7 linked regions of the Rattus norvegicus genome follow. The protein of the gene in region 4 binds, or shares a complex with, the protein of the main gene of each other region. Links are inferred from orthologs where the notes say so. Each region holds a gene or a part of one and is shown on either strand. Other genes may lie near its edges.

The links.
Region 1: Ranbp2 (region 4) and Nup85 share a complex: the UniProt entries of both Homo sapiens proteins name them as parts of the nuclear pore complex. The link is inferred for Rattus norvegicus from reciprocal best matches to the Homo sapiens genes RANBP2 and NUP85.
Region 2: Ranbp2 (region 4) and Nup98 share a complex: the UniProt entries of both Homo sapiens proteins name them as parts of the nuclear pore complex. The link is inferred for Rattus norvegicus from reciprocal best matches to the Homo sapiens genes RANBP2 and NUP98.
Region 3: Ranbp2 (region 4) and Nup153 share a complex: the UniProt entries of both Homo sapiens proteins name them as parts of the nuclear pore complex. The link is inferred for Rattus norvegicus from reciprocal best matches to the Homo sapiens genes RANBP2 and NUP153.
Region 5: Ranbp2 (region 4) and Nup214 share a complex: the UniProt entries of both Homo sapiens proteins name them as parts of the nuclear pore complex. The link is inferred for Rattus norvegicus from reciprocal best matches to the Homo sapiens genes RANBP2 and NUP214.
Region 6: the proteins of Ranbp2 (region 4) and Xpo1 are in contact, whole or in part, in a cryo-EM structure (PDB 9B62), measured with the Homo sapiens proteins. The link is inferred for Rattus norvegicus from reciprocal best matches to the Homo sapiens genes RANBP2 and XPO1. Residues at the interface, in NP_006258.3 of Homo sapiens: Val2508, Val2509, Ser2510, Pro2511, Pro2512, Lys2513, Phe2514, Val2515, Phe2516, Gly2841, Phe2842, Gly2843, Ser2845, Thr2846, Gly2847, Leu2848, Ser2849, Phe2850, Ala2851, Leu2853, Ala2854, Asn2857, Ser2858, Gly2859, Asp2860, Phe2861, Ala2862, Phe2863, Gly2864, Ser2865; in NP_003391.1 of Homo sapiens: Trp60, Val63, Asp64, Leu83, Asn97, Gln98, Gly101, Ile102, Lys104, Tyr105, Val107, Gly108, Ile110, Ile111, Leu134, Phe149, Asp152, Ile153, Gly155, Ala156, Ser157, Arg158, Thr159, Ser160, Glu161, Leu163, Cys164, Asn167, Leu208, Phe211.
Region 7: Ranbp2 (region 4) and Cetn3 share a complex: the UniProt entries of both Homo sapiens proteins name them as parts of the nuclear pore complex. The link is inferred for Rattus norvegicus from reciprocal best matches to the Homo sapiens genes RANBP2 and CETN3.

The regions. Positions count from the first base shown.
Region 1 is NC_086028.1:101,311,675-101,315,687, reverse strand, and holds part of Nup85 (nuclear pore complex protein Nup85), read right to left. Parts: intron 3,670-4,013; coding exon 3,600-3,669; intron 3,379-3,599; coding exon 3,257-3,378; intron 1-3,256. UniProt on the Homo sapiens protein: Essential component of the nuclear pore complex (NPC) that seems to be required for NPC assembly and maintenance. As part of the NPC Nup107-160 subcomplex plays a role in RNA export and in tethering NUP96/Nup98 and NUP153 to the nucleus.
Region 2 is NC_086019.1:165,905,503-165,909,477, reverse strand, and holds the end of Nup98 (nuclear pore complex protein Nup98-Nup96 proprotein), read left to right. Parts: intron 1-1,693; coding exon 1,694-1,805; intron 1,806-1,891; coding exon 1,892-2,109; 3' UTR 2,110-3,073; downstream 3,074-3,975. UniProt on the Homo sapiens protein: Plays a role in the nuclear pore complex (NPC) assembly and/or maintenance. NUP98 and NUP96 are involved in the bidirectional transport across the NPC. May anchor NUP153 and TPR to the NPC.
Region 3 is NC_086035.1:18,205,802-18,209,814, reverse strand, and holds part of Nup153 (nuclear pore complex protein Nup153), read right to left. Parts: intron 2,563-4,013; coding exon 2,516-2,562; intron 2,109-2,515; coding exon 1,979-2,108; intron 1-1,978. UniProt on the Homo sapiens protein: Component of the nuclear pore complex (NPC), a complex required for the trafficking across the nuclear envelope. Functions as a scaffolding element in the nuclear phase of the NPC essential for normal nucleocytoplasmic transport of proteins and mRNAs.
Region 4 is NC_086038.1:27,015,903-27,019,915, forward strand, and holds part of Ranbp2 (E3 SUMO-protein ligase RanBP2), read left to right. Parts: intron 1-13; coding exon 14-4,013. UniProt on the Homo sapiens protein: E3 SUMO-protein ligase which facilitates SUMO1 and SUMO2 conjugation by UBE2I. Involved in transport factor (Ran-GTP, karyopherin)-mediated protein import via the F-G repeat-containing domain which acts as a docking site for substrates.
Region 5 is NC_086021.1:35,732,435-35,735,919, reverse strand, and holds part of Nup214 (nuclear pore complex protein Nup214), read right to left. Parts: intron 2,759-3,485; coding exon 2,587-2,758; intron 1-2,586. UniProt on the Homo sapiens protein: Part of the nuclear pore complex. Has a critical role in nucleocytoplasmic transport.
Region 6 is NC_086032.1:101,458,371-101,462,383, reverse strand, and holds part of Xpo1 (exportin-1), read right to left. Parts: intron 2,040-4,013; coding exon 1,911-2,039; intron 1,459-1,910; coding exon 1,300-1,458; intron 1-1,299. UniProt on the Homo sapiens protein: Mediates the nuclear export of cellular proteins (cargos) bearing a leucine-rich nuclear export signal (NES) and of RNAs.
Region 7 is NC_086020.1:13,827,729-13,831,741, reverse strand, and holds part of Cetn3 (centrin-3), read right to left. Parts: intron 2,724-4,013; coding exon 2,609-2,723; intron 1-2,608. UniProt on the Homo sapiens protein: Plays a fundamental role in microtubule-organizing center structure and function. As a component of the TREX-2 complex, involved in the export of mRNAs to the cytoplasm through the nuclear pores.

The sequences.
Region 1 (4,013 bases), on a different chromosome or scaffold from region 4:
GTATGTATGTATGTATGTATGTATGTATGTATGTATGTATGTAGATGGGGTTTGGGGTATGTGCACAAGTGCAGGTACCTGCAGAGGACAGAGGAACTGAACTTACAAACACACAACACAGGTAGTGACCAACTGAACTTGGTCCTTTGCGAGAGCAGCCAGTACGTGCTCTTGATCGCTGAGCAGTACGTGCAACCCCAAACTTCATCACAAACATGTATAAAACTGCCACAAACCTTTTCAGTGGAAAAGAAGAAACCAGGCTGGGAGATGACCCAGTCAGAAAAGCTCATATTTTGTAAGCAAGGACCTGAGTTCTATACAAGTTCTATCCTGTACAGACCTGTCAGTGTGGGGCACACAGCGGTCAGCACAGCAAGGGGCAAACAGGAGTCAGTAGTCGGGCACAGCCATGCAGGTCCACTCAGAAATACAGCGCAGTGGCAGCACAGTCCACCTTAACACACACACACACACACACACACACACACACACACACACACACACACACCCCTACTGAGAGCCAAACATGGTGGCTTACATGTGTAATCCTACTATTTGAGAAGCTGAAGAACAATTGCCATGAGTGGCCAACATGGTGTGAGACTTTCTCTCAGGGGATTGGGGATTTAGCTCAGTGGTAGAGCACTTGCCTAGCAGGCGCAAGGCCCTGGGTTCGGTCCCCAGCTCCAGAAAAAAGAAAAAAGAAAAAAAAAAAAGAAAAAAAAAAAAAAGAAAAAAAAAAAAGAGACTTTCTCTCAAAACATCAGAAACTCACACAAGCAAACAAACAAGTGAACACAGGCCCACACAGGGGCCTCCTGTAAGCAGAAACATACACCACACAATGCTATGAGCTTAGATATGTCCACCAGGTCCTGGTCATCCCCAACATCACATTAAACTCAAAGAGTGGCAAATGCTTGTAAGCAGAAAGATCAGACATTCAAGCTCATGCCTGGCTCAATGGCAGTCAAGGCCATCTGAGTTCCCGTCTCAAAAGAGCAAAAAAACAAATGAACAACAAAAAATAGACTCAGTAGTTAAGTGTTCTCTCTGTCCTTGCAGAGGACCGAGATTCAGCACCTACACGGCAGTTCAGTTACCTACAGCCCCAATTTTCCAGGCTCAGATAGCCTCTTTGGCCCACGCAGTCACCAAGCACACACATGGTTCACATGCATAACATATACACCCATGACTGAAAGCACATTAATCTTTTATTGACTGATTGGCTGCTTTGTTGAGACAGGATTTCTCTGTATATCCCTGACTATCCTGGAACTCTCTGTAGAACAAGCTGGACTTGAACTCAGAGATCGGTCTCGCTCTTGAGTTCTAAAGGTGAGCTGGGACTAAAGGTGAGTGCTACCATAATCTGAAACTGATTAATCTTTACAATAAAAAGGGGGGGGGGCGCACTGGAGAGATGGCTCAGTGGTTAAGAGCACTGTCTGCTCTTCCAGAGGTTCTGAGTTCAAATCCCAGCAACCACATGGTGGCTCACAACCATCTGTAATGGGATCTGATGCCCCCTTCTGGTGTGTCTGAAGACAGCTACAGTGCACTCATATACATAAAATAAATAAATCTTAAAAAAAAAAGGGGCTGGGGATTTAGCTCAGTGGTAGAGCGCTTACCTAGGAAGCGCAAGGCCCTGGGTTCGGTCCCCAGCTCCGAAAAAAAAAAGAACCAAAAAAAAAAAAAAAAAAACCAAAGGTTGGTACGTACAGTGCTGGCTGAGACATGATCTCACAATATTGCCCAGGCTGTCTCTGACCCTGAGTTCAAGTGCTACTCCAACTTCAACCACCAAATAACTGCAACCATTAATACGCGTGCCATCTCCCCAGTTGATAATACTGTGCTGAGGGTCTGGGGATGAAGCTCGGTAACAGAGGAAAGCTTTCTCACCATGCATAAGCACCCCAAACACAAGGTGACCAGAGGCTTAGTGGAACTATGAGCAATGCTTCAGGGTTCAGCAGTTTGGTTCAGGGCAGCTCTAATGCCCATAAACAATGAACTGATTATACTGTGGATTTATGTAAAATATACAAAACACTTATAGTCACACACATCACCTGATTGTATGTACTCAAATCCCCCAAATTTCCCCTTCTGGTAGACTTCCCTCCTTGAATTCCAGACTCCTATCTCCATGACCTAGTCAGCACATACCAGTCCTCTCTTTCACCAGATCACCCACCTGCCCACCTTTCTCTCACACCCTCCCGGCCAACTGTGTTCCTTTTGTGGTGGTGGGCATAGGGACCAGTGCATGCTGGTCAAGTACTCTCCTACTAAACTCTACCTCCAGTACCTGACTATCCTATGTTCTGAGAGTCGCTATACTGCCTCTGAAATACGAGGTAATGAAGACCCCGTGTCAAGGCTAATGAGAAAGCAGACGCAGTCTGCACATAAATAATCCCAGCATTCAGGAGGTGAGGCCAGCCTGGATTAGAAATGAGCTCCAGGCCAGCAGGGCTACATAGAGAGACCTTGTCTCAAAAAGCAAACCAAAGCTAGTAACAGGACAGCCAGGGCTACACAGAGATACCCTGTCTCAAGGAGGAAGAAAAATGGGGCAGTGGTGGCCACGCCTTTAATCCCAGCAGTTAGGAGGCAGAGGCAGGTGGACCTCTGTGGGTTCCAGGGCAGCCTGGTAGGGCAGATAAGCCTACACAAAGAAGCCGTGAATTAAAATGTATAAATTCAACAAAATAATCCAACGAAGAAACCAAACAGGATACTTTCTCCTCTTGAGGTGCTGGAGATCTTGCTCTCCCAGATGCTATGCGGGCATTCACTACAATGCCCTCAAGCCCCTTGTCAGCGCACCTCACCCTTCCTAATGCATGAGCCTTCACACAGCTCATGCTGGGGTGACTTCCAGCCACGGAGTCATTTCCTTGCTGCTGTCCATGAGTAGTAATGTAAGGATCTGACAGGTTGGTAACTGCTGCCCGAGAGTATCCTCCCACCTCAAAATGACCACTTGTGTCTTCTGCACCCCACCTCTCCTCAGTCTCCTCAGCCACTTAGTATCTTCATACCTTCTCTCCCTCAGATCTACAAACAAAGCCTCCTGGTCAGGAGTTTACCAAGCTCCCTCTCCATGCTAAACTAGTTTTTAACTGCTCTGGAGCAGAAGGGAAGATGGAAAACCTACTCTACAATCACACACCCAGAGAGCTGAGCCGCAGCTGGAGCAGGTCCTCCCAGTCAGCCGACTGCAGTCCCGCACACTCACCAAGTTCCAGAAGCTCTCATGCTTGCTTGGGTGGTCACTGCCCAGGACATCTGCTGACAAACTGTCCACCTCGCACACGTGCAGTCGGACCCAGTCAAGAAGATGGAGGAGGAGAGGTCCAGCTGAGGAGAGACTCTTGTCACACAAAAGATCCCAGCTTCATCTGCAGCATGTTCCCCTCACCCAAAGTACAGACGCTGATACGAATTTAAAGCAGAAGCCCTGACTGGAGAGGGGTTTATTCCCTGCAACTAAGAAGGACAGAGTATGGCAGGGACCCTGTGATGCTATACAGAGCTAGCCTGGCCTAACAGGCTACATGAAACAAACAAACTGGCGTTACCTGGAGCTACTTCAATGAAAAGAATCTCGCACAGGTTCCAAATAAGCTCCATGGCTGACAAAATGGAGACCTAAGGAGAAAAGAGGCCAGCTTACCTGAGACATCCCTCAGTCACTATGTAGTTTACCTGAAACACCCCCCAGTCACCAGCACTCCTACAGCAGGAGTTCCCACCAGGCAGCCCAGCAGAAGATGTCAGATAGGGAGATAAAAACCTGCAGAATGCTAACACTGGTGATTTTATTTTAAGGTGAATTAGAAAAGTAAACTAGCATATCACACGGATGCTCTTGATGGATTGTGGGTTAAGAAGGCGCCTCATTTGAGTAAAAAGAAAAGGTAATTTTGAGAAAGTCTGTCAATAAGAAAAGTAAAACAAAATTGGGAAGTTAGAACCAGGACAGTGGCCCACAC
Region 2 (3,975 bases), on a different chromosome or scaffold from region 4:
AACGCACCCCTCACTTAAAATCCAGTCTGGAGCTGGAGAGATGGCTCAGTGGTTAAAATCACTTGCTGCCCTTGCAGAGGTTCAAGTCTTAGTACCCCCATGGTGGCTCATAGACATTAGCCAGTTCCAGGAGATCCAGTGCCCTCTTCTGCCCTCATACATGCTGATAAACATCATGCACAAAATATTATCTTTAACTTTCCCCTTCTGTTTCGCTGTTTTCCTCTTTACCGCATGTGTTGCACCTTACAGGGCTTAGCTGTTTCTTTTACAAACTTGACGTGTTTTTAGAAAGGTCTCAGCTGACAAATGGCCTACTTAAGGAAGTTTCCCCTACTTTGAAACAGACATCTGGTTTCTTTATTTCCGCAGCTTACAATTCTTTGAGGTTTTCTTGTCTGTAAAATTCAAGCAAAGATAGCAGAGGGTAAGAGTAGTTTGTGTTTAGGGATAAATTAGTGAATTCTGCAAGCCCTCTTCAAAGTGAGTTCTAGCCACTTGTAACCAAGCATGGTGACCTGAGTTCAGTCTCCAAAACTCACATAGTGAAAGGAGACATCCTTTGACCTGGTGACAGGAGAAAAGTAAATCTGGTTTGTTTTTAATGTCTCTGACAAGGTGTGGTGCTACATGCCTATAATATGCCATGATGAAACAAGAGGGTAATGGCAACTTTGGGACCAGCCTGGAATATACAAGTTCTAGGCCAGTTGGGGCTACATATCAAGACCGGATCTCAAAAAAACAAATGATTGGGCTGGAGAGATGGGTCAGTGGTTAAGCCACTGACTGCTCTTCCAGAGAGGTCTGAGTTCAAATCCCAGCAACCACATGGTGGCTCACAACCATCTGTAATGAGATATGATGCCCTCTTCTGGTGTGTCCGAAGACAGATACGGTGTACTTATATATAATAAATAAATCTTTAAAAAAAAAAACAAAAAACAACCCAACACCATGATTATAGAGAGTAACACAGTAGTGTGGCCAAGCTCCTAAGGTGTTTAAGGTGAGAAGTAATGGTGGTCCAAGCTTCAACAAGGAGTGTGGCACAGGAACGGAAGTTTGGTGTTGGGCTAGAACTGAGGACTTAGAAATCAATACATTGACTATAGTTGGAACCGTAGGGATGGATCAGGAGAGTGTATAAATGAGTAGGTCCTGCACTGTTTTAGAAATGGCTGTGACTTTAGAATAAGGAGTTGTAAATTAAATGCTGGTTTAAGTGTCACCTCTTACTACATGTGTGTTGCTGAGTGTCATACTATGTGTCTGAATCAGATGTATCCTATGTTTTTTGGTGTTGTGTAAAAATTATGTGACTTGTGAATCATATCTCAGGACCTGTCCAGCCCAAGGCTCTGTGTTCACTCCCTCATGTTCACTGTTAGTACCTTGCCTTAGCAACTAGGTGGTATGGTGGTAGCGTGGGCACTGCCACCAGCTCTTGGGTTTTCTCCCCTCCTATCATTGTCCTTAGGATTGTGTGTAATCTGTGAGTGGGATTGAGGTATACATGGGGCTTTTTGTTTTGGTGGTGGTAGTGTTTTGGTTTTGTTATTTGAGACAGGGTTTCTGTTTATAGCCCTGGCTGTCTTGAAACTCATTCCGTAGACCATGCATTGAAGTGCTGAGATGGAGGCATGTGAGGTAGAGGTTTGTTTTGTCCTTACTGGTTTCTGTTTTCCTGTAGGTGGATTGCTCAGGCTATGAACTAGAGCACTTACATACCAAAGTGACTTCACTGTGTAACCGGATAGAGCAGATTCCGTGCTACAATGCCAAGGATCGCCTGGCTCAGTCAGGTAAACATGTGGGCTCTGCTTGCTCATGGCCGTTACCCCGACACCAGTGCCTTGTTCTCAGTACTCACTCTGGTATTTCTCTCTAGATATGGCCAAGCGGGTAGCCAACTTACTGCGGGTAGTTCTGAGCCTTCAGCACACTCCTGACGCCACCTCCAACTCCACTCCGGACCCTCAGCGAGTCCCTTTGCGTCTTTTGGCTCCCCACATTGGCAGGCTCCCTATGCCTGAGGACTATGCCTTGGAGGAACTGCGAGGCCTTACCCAGTCCTACCTTCGAGAACTGACTGTTGGGAGCCAATGAGCCTGGCTCCTGCCCATCCGCACTCGCCACCACAGTCTCCCACATTGTTTTAATTGACACTCTGCCAATCTCTGGGAGTCCTCCGCTCCTCTTCGCTGCCCTTCGCAGCATCCTCTAGTTATTCAGGGGTTTTCATAATACTGAGCATATCCTACCATAGCTCATAAGGGCTTCTGGAACAGCAACAACAAAAAACACAGGTCTCCATTGATCAACCTCAAGACCATTCAGTTTTTTTCTTTTGAAAAATGGTCAATAAAACCTCTTTGGCAGAACCTCCCAAAACCCAGGGAATTCTTTTCCACACCCAGAGTTCTGACTCTCACCCCAGATATATGACTGACTGACCTTCCCTTACTACAGATTTGTCTCTCAAGTAGATTTCTCAGTTAACAGTGTGTTTGGGAATCAAGAGAGTTGGACCTTGTTCTTTGACATATTTAAGAAAGAAGGGCTGTCTACCATGGAGGCGGAGATCTTCAAGGCTTTTACTCATGCCTTGTATATCCTTTGGACACCATGCTATCATGTGCAGTGGCCCCAAGCTACAGAGAACAACTCTTGAGAAGCCCCAGAACTGCTCTGACCCTTGATCATCAGTCATTTTCCTCGATTTGCCAGAGGAGTTTAGATGAAGAATGTCAAGGGTGTTCCTCCCTGCCCTCCCATCTAGCCAAGAACATTTCTCAGAAGGTAAAGCTGTCACTGCGACAGGTCTGGCTGGGCCCAGGGGCAGATAGGGAAGGCCTTCACCACATTGCTGCTGGCTATGGGAAGTCCCAGGCACTAGCCTGAAAGAGCGGATATTTGGGGCTGTCACAGACAATATGGCCACCCCTGGGTCTTTATGCATGAAGATTATGTAAAGGTTTTTATTAAAAAATATATATATAAATGATCTAGATTATTTTCCTCTTTCTGAAGTACTTTCTTAAAAAAAAAATAAAATGAAATGTTTATAGTATTCCTGGTGGTTTTGTCTTTGTGTTTTGGGAACTCTGGAATCTTTAAGAAACAGATCCTGGGCTGGGGATTTAGCTCAGTGGTAGAGCGCTTACCTAGGAAGCGCAAGGCCCTGGGTTCGGTCCCCAGCTCCGAAAAAAAGAACCAAAAAAAAAGAAAGAAACAGATCCTAAGTTAAGAGAACAAGGGGGCTGAGGAGTGAGTTCAGCATATCAGAGCACTAACCACACAAGCCTGACACCCCAAGTTCACTTCTCAGAATCTTCATAAAAAGGCAAGCTGTTAGCACACCCCTGTAATCCCAGAGCGCTGTATGTGTCTGGCAGCACTCTCCAAGGACTTTTTACATGTATACAGTGTATTTGTCATACCTATCACTCCCACTCTCAATTCTCAGCATTATGGTTGTTTTTGTTTTGTCTGTCTGAGTTTATTACTATTTTACGTGTGTTGTGGTTTACTTGTATGTATATCTGTTCACCACATATGTGCCTAGTGCCTGTGGAAGCCAGAGGGCATCAGATCTCAAGAACTGGAATTAGGAACAGTTACGAGCCACTTTAAGGGTGCCGAGAATCAAACCTGGGTCCTCTTGGAGGAGCAGCCAGTGTTCTTAGCCACTAACCCATCTTCCAGCCCCATTGTGTCAGAACTCTTGTTAGGGGATGGAGACAAGCGACACCCTGGAAACTGACCTGCCATCTCGCCTGGGGAAGGCAGCATGTCATCAGGAACTACAGACCTACCTCAAAGAGGAGGGAGGCAGTAATAATTCCCACATTGTCCTGAACTTGAGCACACATGACACTCACAAATGAATACTGGACAGTTAGATGCTGAGCTGAGATTCAGAGCACAAGCACTTTTCCCCATCTGCAGTACTGGGAATTGAACCCAGGTTCT
Region 3 (4,013 bases), on a different chromosome or scaffold from region 4:
CAACCCCCAGACAACTAAACCAAAGCCCTTAGCATAATCCTAACAAAGTTACATTGCTGGAGTTTTCATTCTGGTACTCAAGAAGCAAAACTAACCAGGGGAAAAAATTGGAGTGAAAAAACTGCACAAAAATCTATAAAAGCAAACACTGACAGATTTTAAATTCAACTTCAAACAACAAACACTGAGCTGAGGAAGATAATTCAGTGGGAAAAAGCTCTTTTGACCAGTGTGAGGACCTGAGTTCATAAAACCACAGGCAGCAAATATCTGGTAATCCCCCTGCTCCCATAACAAACCGGGAGGCATAGATGAGAATTCCCAGCAGTTACCAGCCAGCTAGCCTGGCATGAACACAGCAAACAACAGAGATCCTGTATCAAACAAAGAGGAAGACAAAGATCAATGCCTGATGCTGTCCAATGGTCTCCACACATGTGACCACAATCACATACTAGAAAAAAAATCCCTATTAATGAAATATAAGTTTTAAACTTTAAAATACAATAAACATAATGAGAAATTGTAACTGGAAACAAGTAAGTCAAAGTATTAAGTCCCCAAGGCTGGAAAGATGGCTGCCTTGTTAAGAGTACTGGCTGCTGTTGCAGGAGGGCTGAGTTCAGTCAGTTCCCAACCTTAGATGGTGGTTCACAACTATCCATGGCTCCAATTTGAAGGACTGCAACGCCCTCTTCAAACCTCCATGGGCATTGCATGTGTGTGGTGCAAAGAAATAACACGCAGTCAAAGCACCCCTACACATAAAAGTTTATAAAGCCCTACATTCCAATTAAAGGAGCAAGTAAGTTGAACATCTTAGAAGGTGGTGAAAGCCTAAAATGATTTAGCTTGGATGAAATCAATTTTAAGAAGACTGAAACGGGATGTTCCAACTCAAAAAGTAGCTAAAATAAATAAATAAAATGAGCAATCTCTAGACAGAAAGTCAATTTAACCAATCTTCAATTAGTCTCTATGTTCTATATCTAAACAATACCTAGAGATCAATTCTTTTTCAAATTTACCTACTTCTGTGTGTGTTTGTGTGTGTGCACATGTAAACACACACATGTGGCGGTTAACCAACAACCCGCAGACTCAGACCTCCTATTCCACCATGGGAACGGATGAAACTAAAGTCACCAGATTGGCAGCAGCACCTCTACCCAGAGCTACCTCACCAGTCCAAGAACTCATCCTAATTAATAGGAAAATAATAAAAGACAAACCTAAATGGTCACAAAACACATACAAAAGATTCCTCCTTCCCATGAAACAAGACGCAAAATAAAGCCCGGGTGACTTTTTTTCTAGCTATCACACTAGAAATGGACCAAAACCAAATGCTAGTAAGGAAAAATTTTAAAAATTAAGATCCATCTATGATCACATGGAGTGTTGTGAAGAGAATAATAGCCAAGACCAACAACACATTTAAAGACATGTCAAATCCTGTAGTCCAAAAACCTCATTCCTGGTAAATATCCTCCAGACCAAACTGCACATGGCAAAGGAGAAGTGTATCAATATTCACCTTAGCACATACTGGGGATCAGCCCAAATGTACCCTGATGAGAGAATGGACTAATTGTAGTAAATCTGCACAAAGGATAAACAGCAGAGAAATGTAAATTCCATTGTTCCATTAAACATGAACCATCGCAGAGAGAGTACACAGTGTTAATCGTATGTACACTTGAGAAACAAGCAAAACCCGAAGGCAGCAACCAGAGAATCCAATAATGTCGATGGGAATTATCTCACATACAAAAATACATAAAATAAAAAGGTGGAGGGGTTTTTTAAAGTTATTTTACCCAATTCGTGAAGTTGAGGCCTCTGGGCTGGGTATTAGAGCAATGGTCGAAAGGATGGTTTCAATGGTCGATACTCTTCACTCCAAATCTTCAAGCCCCATTCCTATAGGCCTTACTTCACCCCGACCCTCTCAAAGTTCTATAAAATGTGAGCCTACCTCCTCCTCTGAAGGTTTAGAAGCAACAAAATGTGTTGTTCTCTCTCTTCTCATCTTGCCACCTCCACCACCTACTCCAGAAGATAAACCATTGGCTGCAGGAATACTGAAATTGGGGTATGAAAAGCCACTAGCAAACAAAAAAAAGAAAATTAGAACAATTTCAATATTTTGTTGCAGAAACTGTTAAATATTCAAACACCAGATCAGCTAACAAAACAATTAGGGTATAGCCAAATATACTTTGAAATTTCTTCTGCATTTATTTATGTATTCATACATTCATGGGCATGTAAGCACACATGATCTTAGTATGGGCAGCTTGTGAAGGTTAGTGGGAAAGCTCTTGGCAGTCAGGTCTCTCCTTCCACTACGTGGGACTAAACACAGGTTTCAGGTTTGGTAGAGTACCCTGACCTGCTGAGCATCTCGCTCACCACCTAAGTATACGTTTCAATTTTCTTTATCTTCAAGGCTATTGTAAATATGAACCCTACAAATATAAAGAAATCCATTTGCAGTATATGATGACATTACCTTTCTTGCTCTCTATTTTGTCTTGAGATATTTTTTTCATCTACAGTCTGAAAGAAAAAAATAGTATGAGGATTTTATTTAAAAAATGACAATTATTTGGGGAGTGGGGTAATAATGAGGAGTGCCTCGAACTCCGTATACAGCTCAGACTGAACTTGAGATCTAGTTCCCGCTGCCTCCACCCATCAAGTGCAGAGATCACAGGTGAGCATTTCTGGCTTAGTTTTTTTTTTCAGTGCTGTGATTAACTCAGCCTTATCAAATGCAAGGCAAGTACTTCCACCACTGAAAGCTACATCCATAGATTCAAACTCTCTTAACATCCTTTTACTTATAAATTTTATTATTTGAAATTAAAAATTTGATTTTCTAATGGCCTTGGTATATGTAATTTAGACATTGTGTTTGAATGCTAACCAAAGGTCACAACTGCACTGTGCACTGTAATATGAGCATATATACAAAATGTCACACATCTACTAGTCCAAAGGTCACACTGACTTTTAGGGGACAACTTTCCTTTTTGCTGTACTAAATGATAGACAACTTTACAAGGACAGAATCTGAGATATAAAGTACTCCCAACTCATCAGAACTATCAGAGAACCAGAAATGTACAAGATTCGGAATTACCTTGCAATATAAAAAAATAAGATACCCAAAACTGATGGGGCATAATAAAAGGACACAGAATCCATTCAAAGGCAAATACAGGGGAAGATAAGCATCAAAGAAGCAACTCTAAAATTAAGGATTCAGTTAAACACAGAAAATTCTCTACAGCAAAGGGCCAATCAATAGATGGAAAAAGAACAATAGAACTAAAAGTCTACCACAGTGCAATCAAAAACAGCTTGAGGCAAAAATTCTCAATAATGCTAATGGGATCAAAAATAGACAGGAGAGGGCTGGAGAGATGGCTCAGTGGTTAAGAGCACTGACAGCTCTTCCAGAGGTCCTCAGTTCAATTCCCAGCAACCAGGGTGGTTCACAATCATCTGTAATGGGATCTAATGCCCTCTTCTGGTGTGCCTGAAGACAGTGACAGTGTACTTATTATATACATAAAATAAAAAATAAATCTTTAAAAAAAAAAAAAAACAGGATAAGTTCCACTTGAGCCCTAAGATGAGCTCAACCCTCCTTCAGTGGATAACCAGGAATAACCAGAATCTAGACCCACCCAGGACAATCTCTTAGCGCTGTGCATTCTATACAGTAACTAACTCGTCTTTTCAAAAATATTCTAGATTAATGAAGACAAAGACAGATGACAACTACATGTCACGGTCTTGATGATGTCTGTCAGTATTTAACATCTAAATAAAATTTATAGTTTTGTGCAGCACCAAGATTCTCTTCTTGGGTTTGAACTCTATTATCTACTACAGAGAATCCTAATTTGTAAAATAAACAGAGGGGGGAAAGAGACAAATTTAGTAAAATACTAGTACTTTTCTTACAAGCTGAGATGTAGCTCTGTGGTAAAGCACTTGCC
Region 4 (4,013 bases):
TTTTTTCTTTTAGGGTCCAGTTTATGGCATGAATAGGCTTCCACCTCAACAACATATTTATGCATATTCACAACAGATGCACACACCACCAGTGCAAAGTTCATCTTCTTGTATGTTCTCTCAGGAAATGTATGGTCCTCCCTTGCGTTTTGAGTCTCCTGCAACAGGAATTCTATCACCCAGGGGTGATGATTACTTTAATTACAATGTTCAGCAGACAAGCACAAATCCACCTTTGCCAGAACCAGGGTATTTCACAAAGCCTCCACTTGTAGCTCATGCTTCAAGATCGGGAGAATCAAAGGTTATAGAATTTGGAAAATCCAATTTTGTTCAGCCCATGCAGGGTGAAGTAATAAGGCCACCTTTGGCAACACCAGCACATACAACACAGCCAACTCCCTTTAAATTTAACTCAAATTTCAAATCAAATGACGGTGACTTCACATTTTCATCACCACAGGTAGTGACACAGTCTCCTTCAACAGCTTACAGTAACAGTGAAAGTCTTTTAGGTCTCCTGACCTCAGATAAACCTTTACAAGGAGATGGCTATAGTGGACTAAAACCAATATCAGCTCAAACTGGTGGGTCTCGGAATACATTCAGTTTTGGAAGCAAAAGTACACTTACAGAAAACATGGGCCCAAATCAGCAGAAAAATTTTGGTTTTCGTCGAAGTGATGATATGTTTACTTTTCACGGTCCAGGAAAGTCCATATTTACAACACCTACTTCAGAACTGGCAAATAAAAGTCATGAAACAGATGGAGGAAGTGCTCATGGAGATGAAGAGGATGATGGTCCTCACTTTGAGCCTGTGGTACCTCTTCCTGACAAGATAGAAGTAAAAACGGGTGAGGAAGATGAAGAAGAATTCTTTTGCAATCGTGCAAAGTTGTTCCGTTTTGATGGTGAATCCAAAGAATGGAAGGAACGTGGGATAGGCAATGTAAAAATACTAAGGCACAAAACATCTGGTAAAATTCGCCTTCTGATGAGACGAGAGCAAGTATTAAAGATCTGTGCAAATCATTATATAAGCCCCGATATGAAACTGACACCAAATGCTGGCTCAGATAGATCTTTTGTATGGCATGCCCTTGATTATGCAGATGAATTGCCCAAACCAGAACAGCTTGCAATTAGATTCAAAACTCCTGAGGAAGCAGCACTATTTAAGTGTAAATTTGAAGAGGCCCAGAACATTTTAAAAGCCTTAGGAACAAATGCCTCTACAGCAGCAAATCATACTCTTAGAATTGTCAAAGAACCTGCAACTCAGGATAACAAGGACATTTGCAAATCTGATGGTGGAAACTTGAACTTTGAATTCCAGATTGTAAAGAAGGAAGGGCCTTTCTGGAATTGTAACAGCTGCTCGTTTAAGAATGCTGCAACTGCTACGAAATGTGTATCATGCCAAAATACAAAACCAACGAATGGCAAAGAGCTCCTAGGTTCACCATTAGTTGAAAATGGCTTTGCTTCTAAAACTGGCCCAGAAAATGTTCAAGATCGATTTGCATTGATGACTCCAAATAAAGAAGGTCACTGGGATTGCAGTGTTTGTTTAGTAAGAAACGAACCCACTGTATCTAGGTGCATTGCATGTCAGAACACAAAGTCTGCTAACAAAAATGGGTCTTCCTTTGCTCAAACTTCTTTCAAATTTGGCCAGGGAGATCTTTCTAAGTCTGCTGACAGTGACTTCAGGTCTGTGTTTTCTAAAAAAGAAGGTCAGTGGGATTGCAGTATATGCCTAGTCCGAAATGAAGCAAGCTCTACAAAATGTGTTGCTTGTCAGAACCCAGCAAAACAGGCTCCTGTCTCATCACCTGCTTCTTTTAAGGCTGGCACTTCAGATGTAAGTAAAACTTCAAAGAGTGGATTTGATGACATGTTTGCTAAGAAAGAAGGACAGTGGGATTGTAGTTTGTGCTCAGTGAGAAATGAAGCAAATGCTGTAAAGTGTGTTGCTTGTCAGAATCCAGTTAAACCCAGTTCATCTACCACTGTTACAGTACTTCCCTCTTTCAAGTTTGGTACCTCAGAGATGACTAAGCCTCCCAGGAGTGGATTTGAGGGCATGTTCGCCAAGAAGGAAGGACAATGGGATTGCAGCTTGTGTTTTGTCCGAAATGAAGCAAGTGCTTCTCAATGTATTGCTTGTCAGAATCCAAATAAGCAGAATCAGCCTACATCTGCTGTATCAGCTCCTGCCTCTTCAGAGACAAGCAAATCTCCAAAGTGTGGTTTTGAAGGCTTGTTTACCAGAAAGGAAGGCGAGTGGGAGTGTACTGTTTGTTCTGTACAAAATGAGAGCTCTTCCCTAAAATGTGTGTCTTGTGATGCCTCCAAGCCAACTCATAAGCCTATTGCAGAAGCTCCTTCAGCTTTCACAGTGGGCTCAAAGTCACAGTTAAATGAATCTGCAGGAAGTCAAGTGGGAACAGAATTCAAAAGTAACTTTCCAGAAAAGAATTTTAAAGTTGGCATATCAGAGCAGAAATTTAAATTTGGGCATGTGGATCAAGAAAAAACACCCTCCTTCACCTTTCAGGGTTCTTCTAATACAGAATTTAAGTCAATCAAGGATGGATTTAGTTTTTGCATTCCTGTATCTGCTGATGGGTTTAAGTTTGGCATTCAGGAGAAGGGAAATCAAGAGAAGAAGAGTGAGAAACATCTTGAAAATGATCCTGGTTTCCAAGCTCATGATACTAGTGGTCAGAAGAATGGTAGTGGTGTGGTCTTTGGTCAGACAAGCAGCACCTTCACCTTTGCAGATCTTGCAAAGTCAACTTCAAGAGAAGGATTTCAGTTTGGCAAGAAAGACCCTAATTTCAAGGGATTTTCAGGTGCAGGAGAAAAATTATTCTCATCACAAAGTGGCAAAGTGGCTGAGAAAGCAAATACTTCTGATCTTGAGAAAGATGACGATGCCTATAAGACCGAGGACAGCGATGACATCCATTTTGAACCAGTAGTGCAGATGCCGGAAAAAGTGGAACTTGTAACAGGGGAAGAAGATGAAAAAGTTTTGTATTCTCAAAGGGTGAAATTATTTAGATTTGATGCTGAGATAAGTCAGTGGAAAGAAAGAGGTTTGGGGAACTTAAAAATTCTCAAAAATGAAGTCAATGGTAAACTAAGAATGCTGATGCGAAGAGAACAAGTACTAAAAGTTTGTGCCAATCATTGGATAACCACTACGATGAACCTGAAGCCTCTCTCAGGGTCAGATAGAGCATGGATGTGGCTAGCCAGTGATTTCTCAGATGGCGATGCTAAACTGGAACAATTGGCTGCAAAGTTTAAAACGCCAGAACTAGCTGAAGAATTCAAGCAGAAATTTGAGGAGTGTCAAAGACTTCTCTTAGACATTCCACTTCAGACACCCCATAAACTTGTAGATACTGGCAGGGCTGCTAAATTAATACAAAGAGCTGAGGAAATGAAGAGCGGACTGAAAGATTTCAAAACATTTTTGACAAATGATCAAGCAAAAGTGACTGAGGAAGAGAACACAAGTTCAGGTGCAGATGCTTCCAGTGCCTCAGACACTACAGTCAAGCAAAACCCTGATAACACTGGGCCCGCCTTAGAATGGGATAACTATGACTTACGGGAAGACGCCTTGGATGACAGTGTCAGCAGCAGCTCAGTTCATGCTTCTCCATTGGCAAGCAGCCCTGTGCGGAAAAACCTCTTCCGCTTTGGTGAGTCAACTACAGGATTTAACTTCAGTTTTAAATCTGCTCTGAGTCCATCTAAGTCTCCTGCCAAGTTGAACCAGAGTGGAACTTCAGTTGGCACTGATGAAGAGTCTGATGTTACTCAAGAAGAAGAGAGAGATGGACAGTACTTTGAACCTGTTGTTCCCTTACCTGATCTAATTGAAGTATCCAGTGGTGAGGAAAATGAACAAGTTGTTTTTAGTCACAGAGCAAAGCTCTACAGATATGATAAAGATGTTGGTCAGTGGAAAGAAAGAGGCATTGGAGATATAA
Region 5 (3,485 bases), on a different chromosome or scaffold from region 4:
AAGCGCTCTACCACTGAGCTAAATCCCCAGCTCCGGCCTGTCTGCTTTTAATTACTTGGTAGAGGGACTCTGTACATGGAGGCAGTCATCATGCTTCCATTTTGTGTGTGTGTGTGTGTGTGTGTGTGTGTGAGAGAGAGAGAGACTTTCCATGTTATTTCACTTAGACGTGTGTTTTATAACAATCAATAAACATAGAAAACAATGTAGAAATGATGCCATCTTCTTCCTCCTGCTACCTCAGCTAGAACCATCCTCATTCAAGGGTTTTCCCTCCAGATTTGGTTGACCAGTGGGGTTGAAGATATAACCAAAAACATCTTGAGGGGTTCAGGGGGGGCCTCCTAGAGGTCAGGGAGAGAGCAGTTGGTGTTTCTTGGGAAAAGAGACAGGACCTACTCCTAAGTTACAAGGAGAACCCAGTGCCCGCCCTTCACACACCAGGTCCTCTCCTGCACTATTCCCTGGTGGTCCTGCTATCCCTGTGCTCCTCCTTCAGGGGTGACATGAGATCTCTGTCAGGATCAGAGTTAGGATGGCACAGAACTGTCTTTCCAGAGATTTAATGTCTGTGTCGGTACGTTTCCCAGCCCTAGACAATGTGCCAGCCAGTCACGGTTACTAAGACACTCCTGTGAGTGTGGACCAGCCTCAAGCGTCCTGCGTCGGGGAGCCAGCCACCTTATTTTTAGAGGCAGGGTTTCACTGAGACCTGGGGCTGAGTTTCAGTGTGCTGGCAAGCCCCAGAGACGTCTCCTCAGTCTGAGAACCCCAACCACGTGCTGTCCCTACTTGGTTTCTTATGTGGGTGCTGGGGAGTAGACGCAGGTCTTCACGCTTTGTGGTTTTACTGAATTCTTTACTGTTTTGGCACAGGTCTTCCTATGTAGCCTATGCTGGCTTCACATCCCACAGCCTCTTCCTTCAGCACCCTGAATAGGTGCGCGTTACCCACAGGGAAATGCTAGCATTTTGAAGGTTGTATTGGGACTCACTTAGGATTGTGAGGGTGCCCAGTAAGTCTCTACAACTGAGCTACGCTCACAATCCCGAGGAAACTTCTCTACCAGTGAAGCAAACAGCTGCTTTCAAGTGACTTAGCAAACTCTCAACACCCCCAGTGTACACAGGTGGAGTCCATCCAGAACTGTACGAAACACTGGCTTACAGTGGTTCTCAACTCTCTCTTCTGAAAGTTCTCTAACTATTGTTCTTTGGGGACTGGAGAGATGGCTCAGTGGTTAAGAACACTGACTGCTCTTCCAGAGGTCCTGAGTTCAATTCCCAGCAACCACATGGTGGCTCACAACCATCTGTAATGGGATCTGATGCCCTCTTCTGCTGTGTCTGAAGACAGCATCAGTGTACTTATAATAAATAAATCAATCTTTAAAACAAACAAACAAACAAACAAACAAACAACCCAAAAACTGTTGTTCTTGGAGTTTCTCAAGGCAAATTGACCAGGATTCCTTAGCCTCCACAAGAACTAAGGAGTGCCTGTCATCCTGCATGATCTCCCTGAGCGCTCTAGCGCCCCTCTGTGGAGCCAAGATTGATAAGACCACACTCTCCTTTCAGGATAAAGCGCTGCTGTTTCAAGTTCGACACCCATGTTACTCTTAACCCTCAGATCTCTGTTCTGAGCTGAGCACCGAGGGCGAGAGCCTGTCTGGGCCTGCTTTAGGCATCAGCATCTTCTTCAAATGAGGGACTCTGCTGACATACTTAGTTGAGAAGATACAGTGTAGCAAAGGCTATTTCTTGGTGTTCTGGCAACCAGACTAAAGTTCTAGGGCTATTAGAAGCAACTCCCCCCCCCCTTTTCAAGTTAATTTTTCTTTTTGTACACTGTTGTCTTGACTGCATGTACATCTATAGGAAGGTATCAGATCTTGGAGTTTCAGACAATTGTGAGCTGGGATTTGAACCCGGGTCCTCTGGAAGATTGGTTAGTGCTCTTAACTGCTGAGCCATCCCCGCCATGGGATTTTCCTAATGCGGATGTGTGCAGGATACGGAACAGCTGTTGACAACAAGGGAACAGCAGTCTTGAGTGAGGGTTATCCAGTTGGTGTCCTAGAACAGGACACACAGGAGTTGTTTGCTAGAGGCTAACAGACATCTCAAGAGAACAATCCTAACTCTTCCTTCAGGACTTTCTTTTTTTTTTTTTTTTTTTGGTTCTTTTTTTCGGAGCTGGGGACCGAACCCAGGGCCTTGCGCTTCCTAGGTAAGCGCTCTACCACTGAGCTAAATCCCCAGCCCCAGGACTTTCTAATACAAGGACCACCTGAGACACAGGCCCAGCTGCAGCAAACCTGGTCCAGGGAACTGGGTATGGATGTCCTGCATGCTGCACACTGACAGCCAGCAATGTTGTGGCTGACATCTACCTACGATGTTAAGAACCTGCTTACAATGTGCCTCGTCCTAGAGAAAAAGGAATCTTCCAGCAACTTTTTTGTCTACTTAAAGGCAAGGCCTCTGGGTCACTGCCTGGTTTAGAGCATATAGGAACGTCAGGCCCTGCTGCTCTGGGCTGGCACAGGTTTGTGGTTTCCCCAGGTCCCACCTGCAGCTTACCCGAATCCTCCTGCGCTGGCGGCCGCAGTACCCTCTCCGAACACTTTGCCTCCCGTCGAGCCCAGAGGGCTTGTAAAGGCTGGGGCTGAACCGAATGCTGGCACCCCTCCAAACCCAGGGGATCCCCCAAAAGTAGGAGGGCTGCCAAACACTGGAGCAGCACCGAAGCCACCTGAGCAAAACAGAGGCAAACAGAACAGGGGGAAAGGAAAGGAGACAGGAGAGAAGGCATCGAGCAGCCAGAAACCAAACCAAAAGAGGAGAGAGGGAGATAGGACGTCAGTAACTCCAACACAAGGACCCAAAAAGCACAAAACCCCAACCTCAATCCCTCAGCCAAACTGCTTCCCCCAGTAGGAGCAGAGGGGCTGTGGCAACAAGAGATCTGAGGACATCGGTGCCTTACTGAAGCAGGTGGAACTTGTCTCAAGTCCTGCTGAGAACAAACCACCCCAACTCTGCAGGCCCATCCCAGGGTTAGTGCCTCCTGGTGTCTCAACACAGCGGTGGCAGGGTGGCAGGGTGGCAGGGTGGCAGGTTTTACTGTATACTGCCACACACACCAGGCTCCTAGTTCTGGGGAAACCCAGCTAATGAAAGTTGGAGATTCAAAGCCCCTTCCCTGGCAGAACCCATGAACTGGGTCACGACAGAAGCAGGGTGATGCATTCTGGCCGCTAGCCACATACCTTTACTTAGTTACAGGCAGGTGGCTGTGGGCCTATCACCAATGCCCTGACCTGCGGCTTAGAGGGAGTCTTCCTGTGCTTTTCTGCAGCATCACAAAGCACACTGCCCTCCTTTTGGATGAAGGCCACAGTGTAAATTAACCAGGTGTTAAGACAGCTGTGAGCATGGCCTAGGTGCCCAGATCAGGACTCTGGGCCACTACAGCAAGA
Region 6 (4,013 bases), on a different chromosome or scaffold from region 4:
CAACAAAATAAAATACTATAAAGGCTCAGTAAACACAAAACATGAACACGTTCAAAATGAAATATCGGGCTGGAGAGATGGCTCAGCGGTTAAGAGCATTGACTGCTCTTCCAGAGGTCATGAGTTCAAATCCCAGCAACCACATGGTGGCTCACAACCATCTGTAACATCTTCTGGTGTGTCTGAAGACAGTGACAGTGTACTCATCATATATAAAATGAATAAATAAAATCTTAAAAAAAATGAAATATCATATAACAATGAAGAGCATAGTAATGTCAGGGTTGGGGATTTCGCTCAGTGGACTAGCAAGTGGAAGGCCCTGGGTTCGGTCCCCAGCTCCGAAAAAAAGAAAGAGAAAAAGAAAAAATAAAAGAACATAGTAATGTCACAACATACTAAGGTTGGGGATTTAGCTCAGTTGTAGAGCGCTTACCTAGGAAGCGCAAGGCCCTGGGTTCGGTCCCCAGCTCCGAAAAAAAAAGAAAAGGAAAAAAAAAAAAAAAAAAGACTAGAGATACAACATACTAAAATATACGTTGAAAAGGTCATGTATCATATCATATATATAAAAGTAACAGACAAATCCAGAGACATAAAGCAATGGATTTGGACCTATGAGACCTGATATAACAGTAATGATCTCATGGGCACACGATATGCTGTGGAGATAGTGAAAATGTTTGAAAACTATATTACTGTTAGCTGAACTGGATTTGGAACATGCTAAAATATATGCTACTTTGTTCTTTGAGACAGGGTTTCCCGTGTGCCCCACATGCTCTATCTAGAATTCAGAGGGCTGGGATTAGGTTTACACTACTACACTTGGCAATTTTTATACTTTTAAATTAGAAAACTTTAGATCACAAGACAGAAATCCAGACATGGTGGTGATGCTTAGCATAGAAACACACCCAACAATAAATATCAGGCCAGTATTTAGAAATCTAGTTTTGAAACAAGACATGCTTTATACCAGTGATATGAGTACTTGGAAGCTAAGAAATGAGTTCCCAGTAGTTCAACACTAAAATGCTCTACTGAGCTCCAAACACCCAGAAAAGAGTATGAGAACCTGTCTCCAAAAAAAGAGCCCAGTACATGCATACAGTGCCAGCATGTGGGAGGCAGAGGCAAGTACACCTCTGAGTTTAAGGTCAACATGCTCTACACAGTTGAGTTCAAGGACAGCCAGGCAGGAGGACATACAGGGACCCTGTCTCCAAAATCCATGATGTAACGGGCTCATAGTCAAAATCATCTCTTGTAGAAATAAATGTCAAGAAGCAGACCTACCTCCATGAGTGCTTCCCTGAGATTCAGCCTTTTCTCTAGAAGTTGACCATGCTCCTTTAGGAAGGTGCAGAGAAACAGACTGAGATTTTGAATAAAGTTCTGTTCATCATCTTTCCCATTCGAATATGCAAGTCGGATATTAGTGTTTAAAGGAAGCATCTGCAAGTTGAAACCATCATCAATCTACATATCATAGAAGCATCAAATAAAGTGGAAGCCCTAACACGGCAAGAGCCGTCTGCAACTGACACACAACATACTATCTCAGATTTGTTGCTGGTCAGTCCAGATTGATTTTATAGTTTTTCTATCAGACTTTCTCTCAAGACAACAAACCTGTAACCGTGCATCCGGATGAATCATACTGGGGTTTAAAAAGTCCTTTTACACTCGGAACAACAAATCTGAACTATATCACGGTATCAGTAAAACAATATTTTTAAAAGAAAACATAAAAATTTCCACCTAGAATTGCATGTAACACACACACCACATCATGGCTGATCTGTAGTGACTGATGGTTTAACTTAAAGCTCGCCTTTTAATCTGCTTATCTGGCATTGCACTGCTGTTGGTTATGAATCTAACAATTTCAGGGCAGTGGTATGTACCTGTTTTAGCTGCATCATTGTAAGTGTAAACAGAGTTTCAAACTGCTCCTCATACTGGCTCACACTCACACCAGCAATCTCCGTGAGGCACTTTAGAGACACGTTTCGGAACATCGGAACATTCAGGAACTATTTTATTAAAAGAAAAAATATCGAAGTTAAACACAAGAAATGTTTTATTTAAAAATGACAAAGGGGAACGGGTTGGAGAGTTGATGGTGGATAAAAGCATTTGGGACTTTTGCTGAGGACCCAGACTCTTCTCCCAACACTCACAAGTAGCAATTCCCAGCGACACTCAGGTGACACATGTCCATGCATGCAGTCAAATACCATTCCCACAAAAAAACAAATGTAAACAAAACAAAGCAACTTTATGCAAATAAATATAAATGTAATAATACAGCCAGCCTATTATGTATGAAATACAATATACTCAAAATACTGAAATCTTTAAGGGGCACATGTTTTTTTTTGTATCAGAGATCCAGGTGCTCTGCACCTGAAGAAGACCTTCAACTTCTGACCTTCCTGTGTTGCATCACAGATGTTCACTACAGGGACAAGCCTGTGCACACTAAGCAAAAAGTAAGCCACAGCTCAGTAAACGGGGTATGGGAGGCACCTGTGGTAACTTTCTCAAGATTATCACTATGTCCAATGGACTTGAGACCCTGACTAGGGCTCATTATAAAATAAAATAACCAAAAGTATAAAATGTTCAAAGGTACGACTAAAGAACTTGAAAACTGACATTAGCTAGAGACCACTGTGCAGTACATCCTTTGCAGGAGCAAGACTAGACAACGGTCAAAGAGAAAATGTTCACTTACATATCAGCTATGATATCCGCTATACTGAATGAGGCTGACTTGAACCATGATGCCCATACCATTTCTACACCCCCCAGTGTCTTAAGGAGATAATTAACATAACTAAGGTTAGGAATGCTATAAAGAAATTCAGGGGGTTGGGGATTTAGCTCACTGGTAGAGCCCTTGCCTGGCAAGCTCAAGGCCCTGGGTTCCGTCCCCAGCTCCAGGGGAGGAAAAAAAAAAAAAAAAAAAAAAAGGAAAAAGAAATTCAGTTATAGACCCTGCGTATCCTTGGTGGTTAGTTTGTGAACAGCCAGCTCACAATGCTCACCTGTTAATCTTTTTTGTTTTGAGAACAACAATTGGGGGTTCATCTTATTCTACTCATCAGATAAAATACTTTTATGACCACAGTGTTGGAGCATTTGCAGCTAAGATTGACGACCTGAGTCTAATCCTGGGGACAAGCATTTACACAACAACGTAAACAACCCCCCCATTTACAGAAGTAAACATCTGATTTTCTTCACTGTGACTGAAACAAAAGAAAGCAATTTACTAATTGTACCAGAAATAGCATCCTCCAGTTTTCACCCTCACCACCCCTACACCCACCCTCACCAGCCCCCACCCTCCCCACCACTATTATTATCCTTTTCTGAGACATGTAACCCTGTAGTCCTTAAATCCTGGGCTAACCCAGCCACACACTGATTAAATGCTGGGATTTCAACTCTGGTGTGGCCCACAGAAGTCTGTGCTTTGTCTTGCTTGACCCTTGAACAAGCACGAACCCCCACACCCTGCTATGTATAGGCCGGCCTCTGTAACATGTCACACAGGTGAAGGCAGGTACAAGATAGAACAAAACCTGTCATTGGAAGAGAAGGATGGGCGGAAGTTTGAGGGAAAAAGGAGACTGGAATGGAAGGACAAAGGAGAGGAAGCCGTGGAGAGAACATGGAGGCTGATGTAAAGATTCCACTCTGTGTATTTACAGGTTGTTATGAATGTTCTTAAGGGATGGGTGTGTACAGGGCTTTGCATGTTTAGGTGTTCAATTATATTTTATCAACTGGATCATAGGTGGTGTTGTGTGTTCTTCCTTGTGGAGATTTGAGTTTGGGAGAGTATGTGTCAGCAGAGAGACTGGGGCACCACGGATGGGATGTGTGTTTCTGGCATGGTGAATGAAGCCTGCCTTGGGAACTAGATGGACAGAGAGATTGTTGCCAGGGTCAGAGAGAGACCCCTGATTGTGTGATATGGGATGGAGCAGAGCCGGTGA
Region 7 (4,013 bases), on a different chromosome or scaffold from region 4:
CCTCCAAAATCCCCTTCAGCTCATCTTCAATCTTCTCATCAGCTACCATTGTAAAACACAGTCTCCCGTTCCTTAAACTCCGCTGACTGAAGTCCCATCTTACTTCACTAGGTATAATGATCAGTCTGACTGAGGCTGCCTTTGCAGTGCACTGATGATCCCTCATAGAAGGGACTGCATGAGCTGAAGCCTCTCCCGGTGCTGAACACCTAGTGCCACTCTGCTTTGTCACCGTCTAAGTCTGGACTGCATCTCAGCTACTCCTACAATCTTCTTGGAAATCTTCAATCCCTAAAGATTTAAGTTTAAAAAAAAAATCCCCTTTGCAAAAACTTAAATTCCCTGGGTAAAGACTTAATAAACATTTCCTATAAAAGGTCTGATAGGAAACATTTTAGGCTTTCGGGAGTCCTAAGCTCGCAGTCTAAACTACCACATGGTGGCAGAGAAGCAGCGTCCACAAACATGACGCCAGATAACAATGTCTCTCACACAGAATCAAAATGTAGTGTCACCTACCCTGAAATCCTAAGCTCCTCAATGCACTTTCTTGGTAATTTTAACTCCCATTCCTCCTGCCAAATGCAAAAATTTCAGTGTTGGATAAATAATCAAAATGAAAACACTGTAATATTTCCTTTGAGATAGGATTTAAAATGTAAGAAGTACAAGCCAGGAACAGATGAAGTAAAAACATTTCACTTCTATTGACCTTACCTTAAAAGCAGAAAATCCTGAAACACCTGCTACTCATTAGCCTCAGACAAATGATTCTAGCTTCCACTGTACTAAATGTACTGTAATCCCTTTTTTCCCTTAACTGGGAGATCCCGATATGGAGATATCTGTGGGACGGAGTCCTTAGGCAACAACACATCGTCCATAATGCTAAGGTTTAGGTAATATGAAAGTCTGTTCCTAAGTAGTACAATAGTAAACACTACAGTTCTTAAAATTGTACTTATGAAAAATAGGGTTCACAAAACTATGAATAATGCTTAAAGCAGCCTTCAAAATGAAAAACAGAAAATAAAACAATAAGATTATAGAACAGAATGCTTTAATGTCCCAACAATACAAATATATTTCCAACTTCTGAGTTCTGAAACAAAGAAAGCACTATTTTCTCTCCACTGACACAAACTCTATGTGTTTTGCTTGGAGACAGTGTCTCATAGCCCCGTCTGGCCTAGGGTTCCTTATGCAGAGTAGCCTGACCTCAAACTTACAGAGAATGGGATACTTCTTCACCCTGAGTGCTGGGATTATTCTTAATCAGAATACCAACATTTAGTAGCTCTTACTATCCACTACAGTCTTTAACATTTCACATGCTAATCACCCACTTACCTCCCAGAAACCTACAGCACAGTACACTGTTCCCCATTTCATACATGGAAATGAGTCACAGACAAGTAAACTAACAAAGTTTCACAGTCAGAGTCAGAACCAAGACCTGAAGCCTGGAATGTGGGTCCAGGGTAGCCTGTGCTAACACTCCACTGTGGTGCTTAATGTGCCTTCATTTTAGCTTTGTCATGAAAGCATCATTTCCACTACGTCCAGACACCTTGCTTCTCTAAACGCCCTGTGTTAAATGACCTGGGTACTGTGATTGACCTGAGGACCACCCACACTGTGAGGAGAAAGGTGGCTCATGCTCTCCTCAAGGAAACAATCCTACAGACTGGGTGGGGACAGTCTGCCTTTGAAAAAGGCACACTACTCCCTAAAGATTTGTCCTTGAACTGCTGCCTCCTGTACTTTAGGTAGGAGTTTCCTAACAAGGGAGAAATTGCGGGGTGGGGGGGAGTCCCTCTGTCTTCTTATTACCATTTCTTTTTCTTCCCTACATTACTTCTTTAATATTTAAATGTGCGGGTTTAGGTGCATGTATAATTGTATTAGTTTTAATTTTTTTAATATATAAAAATAACTATATGACATGTTTAGATTATGACCCCTAAATGGTATCATTGGCTTTAAGTTACAGTAGCCGACTCCTAGCCTTCCAAAATGTTCTACTGAAAACTCCTTAGCTGTATATATAGCCTGAGTAACTTGATAAGAATTACTACCCAAGACTCAATCACAGTAAGCTCCTACCATCTTCAGGTGGCATTTCTGAGCTTCTCCTGCTTCGATCCTGCCGAGACATCCCTCACGACAGCCTGGCCAGCACCTCAGCTTTACAACACGCACTCTCACTGAGATCAAGGTTACTGGGAGTACAGAGTCTAACAAACTGTCAACCTAACAAGATGGACTTCATGTCCCCGTCTCCCACCAAGACACAAAGTCCTACTTCCCTCTTCTGCACTGTACCAACAAAAGTCACGAAGCACAGCAGTCTTCACAGATATTCCTAAATGTCAGGATATTAAGCTATCTATTGTACTGACAAAAACTATTTTGGTCACCCTTTAGTGACATAATTTTAATAAACCCCCAAAAAACTGACAATAATTCTTTGTTAAAGAAATCATCAAGTCAAAACTAATTCTCACAGTAGAGCTGGAAATATTTTTTCTCTTTGAAAACATAAAAAAAAAAAAAACCTCATAATTTTCCAACAAGTACTGGGTATAAAGACGACTTAAGTACATACCAACTTCATTAAAATCTTCAAATGTGATCTTGCCTGTGGCTTCTCTGTCATAATCTTTAAGAATCTTCAATACATCCGCCTTTTTCACATCAAAACCCAAGGCTCTCATTGCCACCTTTTGGATTAAAAAGGAAAAACAAATTGTAACGCGCTCCTTACAAAAGAAGCATCATTGATTTATCAAAAAGTTTCCATCTTAAAAGATGACAATAGATTTCTAAAGCACAATTATTCTGTATTTTTAATCTCTAAGTTAAGAATATGACACCATGTTGGTTTTTCATTTTGAAATTAGAAATTATTTTCATTGACATTTTGCTATTTTATATGACCAACTAATTAAAGAGTTTACAAAAAATACATAAAACAATGCATTAAATACAAAGATAATAATTTGTTACATAACACATACAAATATATTTCCAACTTCTGAATTCTGAAACAAAGAAAGCACTATTTTCTCTCCTTCAACATAAACGCTATGTGTTTGTTTGGAGACAGGGTCTGCACATCATGTAGTTATTTTCATATAGTAAAAAATTTTAAACTAATACAAATAACATTCAAATAAGGGATATAGAGACATGTCACAGATATGCTCTTGGCGCATAAAAGCAATAAAAAGCATAAAAGTCTCAGGCATCCATGGTTGACATAGTGGAACTGTATAATCTGATCACTCAAGAGACTGAAACAGGACTGTCATACATTTGAGACCAGCATGGGATACATATAAAGATCCTTTCTCAGCAAACAAGCAAGCAGTCGGCATTCCCAGCGGAGCAGGTATAATTAGCTGCTGCGGTGCAATTAGTTTCAGATGACTGAGTTTACACAGAAAACCGCTGCTAGTCCCAGGAAAGGAAAGCTGGGTTAGTAGTCAGTGAGGTCTTCTAAGTCAGTGGTCCCTTACTGAACAGAGGAAGAGCTGAAAGAAAGGACGTGGAGACAACGACTGGGATGAAGGTGTCCCCGTCTGGACCGGGAGGCTCTGGGCAGAAGAAATTCCTAACTAAGGACAAGTGGGAAGTGGAGACAGTAGCATTCAAAGGTCATTGAGCGGAGGAAGCTTTACTTAGCATACAGGGGACAGCCAGAAACAGCTTATGAGCAACGAACATAGTCAAAGGATTCAAGAACAACAGGAATTAATGGTGGTGTAAAAGACAAGTCAGAAATGAGGACGCTCCAGCTATGAGACAAAGTCCCCATCTGTGATGGTCAATGACAACGAATAGCTAAGACACTGGACAGGAAGAACTCATGCTATGTGGAGGAGGGGAGCAGCAGCAAGAGAACAGTGGGTTAGGGAATGAGCTAAAGGAGGACCTCAAGACTGAGGCCAAAGCTTCAAAGTCTATTATTACTTTTAAATAGTCTATCATCTCGCTACATAGATTCTACC